2 linked regions of the Arabidopsis thaliana genome follow. The protein of the gene in region 1 interacts with the protein of each later gene in a pairwise test. Each region holds a gene or a part of one and is shown on either strand. Other genes may lie near its edges.

The links.
Region 2: the proteins of SBP1 (region 1) and ABCB16 interact in a protein complementation assay, tested with the Arabidopsis thaliana proteins (one large-scale study listed by BioGRID).

The regions. Positions count from the first base shown.
Region 1 is NC_003070.9:17,197,440-17,201,375, reverse strand, and holds SBP1 (S-ribonuclease binding protein 1), read right to left. Parts: upstream 2,063-3,936; 5' UTR 2,006-2,062; coding exon 1,965-2,005; intron 1,850-1,964; coding exon 1,749-1,849; intron 1,633-1,748; coding exon 1,304-1,632; intron 1,203-1,303; coding exon 696-1,202; 3' UTR 535-695; downstream 1-534.
Region 2 is NC_003074.8:10,614,370-10,618,305, forward strand, and holds the start of ABCB16 (P-glycoprotein 16), read right to left. Parts: upstream 1,993-3,936; 5' UTR 1,933-1,992; coding exon 1,735-1,932; intron 643-1,734; coding exon 588-642; intron 477-587; coding exon 298-476; intron 229-297; coding exon 1-228.

The sequences.
Region 1 (3,936 bases):
ACTTACGATCTACAAGACATCAAATTCACCACAATGAATAAAAACACAATGAATAAAAACACTAGTTGACATTGATAAAGAGTTGCTGGAAAATTTAATCCTTGGGTCATACACGAACCTTATTACATTTTTGGTTTAATTGAAACATTTAAGACAAACATATAATCTTTTTACGATCTACAACACAACAGAATTCACAGTAGTAAAAGTACCGAAAGACAACCTTGTATGTTCGTCAACGAGAATCAGAGAAGAATAACTTGACATGAGCTAGAGCGTCTTGGATAATACGTAAAATTTTACCTAAAATATTAAATGTATTATAGTTATAAAATAATCATAAGTCTGTTTAACCGTAACTGTTGTAACCGTAACCGTATTCAATTGTAAATATTAACCAAAGTCAAAAATAGTATAAATCAGAATGTTTTGTACGTCTTCTATTTTTGATTAAGATATCATATTCTTACTTCCAAGGAAAAATAAAAAATTAAACAGAATTAACTTGATTTCTAAATTGTTTTCTATTGTGTGGTTCAAGTCAAGTCCGGTCTAGTCTGCTTAATATGTCAATCAGAGTAACACTTACCAATCCGATGATATTAACAAACACAAAAAAAAAAAAAAAAGCAAAGACAAATTACAAATAAAGTTCGTTTGTTAACTAATTAGACATTAGTTTAGTCAAATCACAATCACATGTATACTTCCATACCTAGAAACTTAGAAGACTGACACAAAGGACAAGAGCTAAGCTTCCTCTCACACTCCTTACACAAACACATATGATTACATGGCAACAACAACATACACATTTCTCTCACTCCACAAAACCTGCACATCATCATCGTCTTCGTGTTATTGTTGCTGTTGTCTCTCCCATTGAAGCAAGAAGCTGTGTCATCTACTTCACTGTCTCCACATCCTTCAATGCTATCTCTTGGCCGACCTTGAGCTCGGTCAAGATTGTAGTTGAGTGCAGCAATCATATTCTCGTTGTACTTTGCACGTTGCTGCCATGCCTCAGCTTCCATTGTCAGCTGTTCCATTCGCACCTCGAGTTCCTTGTTCTTTCGGTTTATCCTCTCTAGCTCCTCATCTTTCTCACGGAGTTTCTGAACAACTTTTTCCTCCATTAGTGACACCGTTTTCTGTTGACCCCTCTTGATCTTGTCGAGGATAGCATGCCGTAACTGATCCCCCTATCGAAGATACACAAAATCAAGAAAACGAAAACCAAAGTTTCCTCATACATTCAAGAACCAACATACTAGGTTGATCAAAGAAAGATCAGGTTCTTTACCTGAATCTTGAGAAACCTATCGATATCTGCATCTTGCCGCTGTAACTCGCGATCAATATCGTCTCCAACAAGCGACAACAACGCAGAGCCATCAGAAGAAGCGACACGAGCATTGTCAAGAGACAGACCCAATCCGGTTGATACAGACCGAGCTTGCAAAAAATCAATAGAAGATATCTGAGAATTGTTTTCCAAGAAATCTTGTTCCTTTATCCTCTCACGTCTTGGTTCAAGACCAAGACCATAGTTCCACTCAAAGTCAGCTCCATTACCACCATCAGAACCATCAATTTGAACCACCGGTCCCGGTGCAAAACCAGCAACATGAACTGATATAGTTCAAAAGTAAAACAAACACAAAAACAAAACCTTTAAATTCGCAATACAGATTCACCAATCAAATTTCAAAACCCTAATTGGCTAATTCCAATCGGATAAAACTTACATGGAGGAATATATGGAGGATGCTGAGATTGATCATGGAGATTCTCTGAGCGGTTAAATCCTAATTCCGGCGAAATCTGGCCGTCGATTCCGCAAAAGTCTCTGGAAACAGAGCAAGTTCGAGAAATTAGGGTTTTGATTCTTGGAAACTTAAAGAAAAATTAGGGCTTTCCTATCACAGAAAGATTACATGATAACAATAGAAGAGATTGTTTACCTGAAATTCTTGGAGTCTTGAAGGTGTGGATGAAGAGCCATTGATGAACTTCGAGAGAGAGAGAGAGAAGGACACGGAGAAGGAGACGGAGTTGGCTTCTGAAATTGGAAACTCTTTAAGATTTGTATTTTACGATCAGGTCCCTTATCTTTTTCTATATCTTTGTTTTTGACCGTATAGTTTGGTTAGTTTTATTATTTGTCCTATATTTATAAAATCAGAACTTTAGCCCAAATGGATTTGAATTGAATGATTCAAAACTATTGGGCCCTTTTACGAATGTAAGTTACACAATCATCTTAAAAGTTTATTTTTTTGTTAACGTTTTAAATAGAGATTACTCTCTCAATATTTTTTGATATTTCAACTAAGCGGATTATTTCATATAATATAATATTATTTTAGCACAAAAAAAGTTTTCATCCAAAGCCAAAATTGTAAAAGAGTTATGCCAATCCGACAAAAAAAAGAGTTATGCCAATTATTTAAGACTAATATAAATTAGACTTACGATATGGTAAAATTTAAAAGTTTTTGAAGGCGCGTAATGGGATTCACAAAAGCATATAATTTTGGGATTATAAAATGTGTGAGAATAGAAACGATCGGGGATGTTTGGTTATAATTTAGAATCTGTTATTATATGTTTGTTCTAGTTTTGTTGCTTTTGATGTTGAAAATATTTTCAGTATCCATCGACACTGAGTTTAGATGTATTGGGGTATCCACTTTTACAGAAGCTTTCATTTTTGTGCTTATCCTAATCCTTGGTTTAGTTTATGCATGGTGAAAAGGAACATTACAATGGTTTTAGTTTGTTTCTTAAATACTTGTACAATAATAGAAGTAGAAAACAATTATGAATTCCATTAATTTTCCCGTAGTTGATCGAATAACAAAAAATTCCGTTATTGATCTTTCAAATTGGCAAGATTTTCCAGCCTATGTCCACTTATGTATGGTACCAGTTGTTGTTTTATTAAAACTACCTCATTAATAGGCTTCTGAATTGACTTTGATCGTTATGGATTAGTACCAAAATATCGAGTCATAGACAAGCAGACCTTATTTTAACAGTACAATAACGATGAAAATGGCTTCTTCTTTAGTGCGGTTATGTGAACACATGCCTAAACCTCAATATCTTGTAGTTTTTCTTTTTTTGTTTATAGGCAACCCAAAATGTCGTACTGTTCAAACTATGAGCTTACAAAACCCACTTTCATAATGTTTTTGTATCATGTGTACAAAGCTTTCATAGTTAGTAGTTAAGCAAGAAAAACTGCTACCGAAATCATCGGTAGAAGTTTCGTAACTAATCTGCTAATGTTTTGGGTTAGACAATTGATTTGATATATTTCCAATTACATTTAGTAAATTGATTTTTGAATGATTTAAAAGTGAAAGTAAAACAAAAAAAATTGGTGTATTTGTGGATGGTAGAACAATATATATATATATATATATATATATATATATATGGGTCTGCATAAAGATTTACAAGATTTAAGAAATTTTTATAAATTTGAAAAACCAGAACCCAAAAAACCCGATCCGTATACCCAAACGCCCATGCCTAGGTTGATTAATACTATCTGATTTTTATAACATGGTAAAACAATAAATTATGACTCTTTACGAGTTCGCTCGCTCAATGGTAGGTTCTCGCAAATATATCTTACCAAGAAAGTTGTCCACCGGATGCATGGGTTATATTGAGTACTAATTTTGAATATAGAATTAACACTATATTAAATTATATATGAAGTGTAAACACAATTGCTAATATATTTCTTGAAAAGACTTTAGAAAACACGTTTGAGTCTCTTGTTCTTGAACTCTCAACCCCTGAACTACTAGTTGTTGTTCTAGCATTTTCATAACTGGTGTAGTCATTATCTTCAACAGTGCCTACAATTCAACATGTAAATTAGTTGTAACAATCACTTAGTTATAACTTATAACAATCACG
Region 2 (3,936 bases), on another chromosome or scaffold:
ATAGACGGTTCTAACCGAAGAGATGGCTTGTTCGGCGATAGAACCAGCTTCATTGTACTCCTCACGTATTTTCCTCGAGATGCCAATGAGGGCTCGTCCGTACATTAGTCCAGGGATCAAGAGGAGAATGATGAATGGGAAGCCTACGATTGTGAGTCTCCACAGCAACATGAAACCCACTATGTAGCTTCCGACAAACGCAGATGCATTCATCAAAATGTTTGGTAACTGTTTGAATTCAAAATCATCAAAAAAATTGTTTAAGAACAAGAAATATGATAAATAAAAATTGAAAACCTTTTCACTGAGGAAGTCTTGAATGACAAGGCTGTCACTAGAGACACTGGTAATAATATCAGAAGTGCTTGTGACATGAAGATCAAAGTAACCCACATCTTGTCTTAACACTGCTCTTAAGTACCTTTCTCTCATTTTTGCTGCTTGTCTCTCCCCTGTTCTTGTCCAACAATATCCTTCTGTTTTAAATATTAAACCCATCCACAAAATTAAACAAAATTTGTTATATTGAGGTGCACCAAATTAATATTTTAATTTGATAAAAAAAAAATTGAAAGAAACACACTTACCAAGGAAACATATCACCCAAGATGCACAAGCCACATAAAGCATGGCTAGAGCATTCTGTTAGTTACAACGTGAAAAAAAGAAGGAAGATACTATATTAGTACTCTTTCCTATATATTTAAGTAATGTAATTGATATGTGGGGCAATATAGTAATCGTAATCTTACTACACGTTGAGTTATAGTAAGAAGTTTAAGATTATGTAATAAAATATTTGGGTTTTCACATTTCTCTTATTGCTATCCCTATTTAACATACACATATGGACATATATGTAAGACGATAGTTTTTTATTTTTTGAAAAAGTCATAAGCCGATCGTTTTAATTAAGAATCCCACCATGCTTGGTCTACTTGGTCATGTCTAGTTTTGATTTTCCATTTTAAGGTAAATTTCTTGGCTGGAATTTGTACAACTCTCTGTCATCATTACATGAGAAACCACTTGTTATGTCTACAGTCTACTCATTGGAAAAAAAAAAGTCTACTCATTTAAATATTGTAATTTAGTTAATTCTATCATAATTGTTGGATTATTGCTAGTTTATTTGGCTAAAATAATCTAACTACACCCAGTAAGCCAATGTTCAATTGCCTTTTTGACCCGCCCTTCATAATCCAGTCTATCTGCTTCTTCTTTGAATGTTTGGTAGTAACTAATTTATGGGAATGTGAGAAATATTTTTATTTAAATTGGCTATGAACGTATTAAATAGCAAAAATATATGTATTTTAGTCATCATTTTAGAGATTAGCATGGCTCTCACTTTCAGTCTCGAACTCTTGCTTACCAACTTTTTTAGTTATAGAATATAATATCCTATGGAAATTAAACTAAATTCTTTGAATTTAAATTTTAATGAAACAAAACTTTTTGTTTATCCCCTTAACCTACAAAATCAATTTAAATAACATTAAATGAAAAAATAGCATTGCTTAATTTGCTTTACTCTTTACAACTCAAAGAATATAAAATTATATAAAACAATTCATGTAATATTTAATTTTTAAAATACTATAATTTAAATATATATATATATATATTGTATTATTGTATATAATCTTATATACTTAAATTAGTATTATGATCCTACTTAGAGAGAATATAAACCAAAACAAAGAGAAAAGAAGAGAGATAGAGAGAAAGGACCTTGGAAATGGGTTGCATGAAGGTTTCATCGTTGAAAGAGAAACTACCGAAGTCGTTCAATAGCATGGCTGTGATGAAAAAAAGAATAGGAGTGATGAAGCCATCACCGACGGCTCCGATTAACCCTAATCCCATCAACATCCAATCTACACCGTCGGCATGCATGAATATTGATCTCATGCTTCCCCATGTCTTCATCTTCTTCTCTCTTTTTCTTCAAGAACAAAAGATTCTCTCTTTTCATTTATATTTGTGGATTTTTTTCAAGTGTAATGTTATTTTTTCCGTCTTCCTGATTGTTCTATATATAGTAGCCGAGACAGAGCGACTTCACCGAAAGTGATATGATATGATATATATAATATTATTTGTTAACATCTGTTATATACCTGCAGTACCTATTTTAATTCGGTAAAACTTATACAACTCCTCGCGAAGACGCGAACCAGGCTCAGTAACCTAGCTACAAGAAAACAAATAAAATAATATATGCTGAGTACTTCAAGGCTTTAAGCTAATAAATTAGTTTTCAAAATTTAATTTGTGTATGAACTTCAAATACTTTCGTGTATTGCTGTTTCTTTTTCTTTGATAAACAATTAGGTTAATTTCTTCATTAATTCACAATGCTTTTGTAAAGATATTGATTTGATTTTACGACATAACGACGAACGTCAATATCAAAATAGTTTAAATTTCTCATACCATACAATTTTTTTTTTTTTTTAGGAAACATACTTATTTGAGTTTTTATTGCATACTTTCGCAAAGTTAAAGGGACTTCTCATGATTTGGCAAAATGACCGCAATTTTTCTTGTGGACGTCACCAGCGACTACTCGATTTAAAAAGATAGTACAGGAGATTGTTTAGCATGTTATTCTAGACTCAAATTTTATGATCTAATTTTTATAGATGTCTTTCTCGCAACATTACAAAGAGAACACGGCAAATTACGTCGGTTAATATTAAGTGTAACGTCAGTTATATATAAGCTGACTTAAAACTTCTACCGTCAGTTTGGAGACCGTCGTATTATTGTATGACGTTAATATTGTCTCGCTTTAAAGTCAATTACAAAGAAGCTCGTAAAAGTTCTTAAGCATAAGCTAATAAATCAAATAAACAGTTTAGACTCTGATTTATGTAGTGGACATTTATTTTAATGGACCTTCATATATTAAAAATTTTACGTTGGTTTACGAAGTGAAGCTGGTAAATCGACGTCATCCATTTTCTGTAGTGAAATCTTATATGGACAATCACTCTGGGAGTGTTGTTAAAAGTTTAATGTTTGATTGGAAACAATAGTAAATTGCTAATCTCTTTAGCTTATACTTTATGAAAGTGATTGCTAATCTCTTTAGATTATGCTCTTTCTTTTAAAGATTCCATGTTGCCCACCAAAGAAGACAGTAAAAACGACTCGATAGTGAACCAGAAAACCAAGAAATATACAATATGGAAGTGAAATATTATAATCAATGCTTCCTCTCTACCACCATGTTTATAATTCCATGTTTTCCACTGCCAAAGTGTGATTTCTATCAAGAGATTTGTAGTTCAAAGTCTTATAATTAATCAATAGAAAAGTACGTACTCAACAAAATATGCAATACATTCTATAATTTCAATTACAATAATTATTTCTGAAAAAAACGAGAAACAATAAAAGGATTTCAAGTAGTCCGAACTCATCTAGAAAGCTAGAGAAGACGGGTCAATCAACAAGACAATGCATCATCTTGATCAACTCCGCGCAATCAGTCTCAAAATCTAGTCTCTCGATCCCCTCAAAAAACATGGTTTAAAAACTCTAAATAAAGAGAGACAAAACTAGGGTTGGCAATCCTTCCAAGATCCATCCACTTGAAAATTTTCATGTGTTATGGACCTTACCAGTTGAACTATTACATCGGCAAGTTAATTGAGCTTCCTTCCAAGCCTTGAAATCAGATATAGTATGACTTGAAATATCTGATGGCTCACGAAAGTCCATGTGAGATATCACAAATGAACTTCTTTGTCCGCTTACAAAATTTCAAAAACCTGATTTTTTTCCAAAGATAACTAATTAAAAAGCCGATGAGATTAGAGATAAGACCCACGTTTATAGTGAAAGATGACATTTAAATAATGTCTGCTTAACTCTTTCCTCATATCCTCCACATCTTAGGTAATATCACGAAGAAATCATCTATCT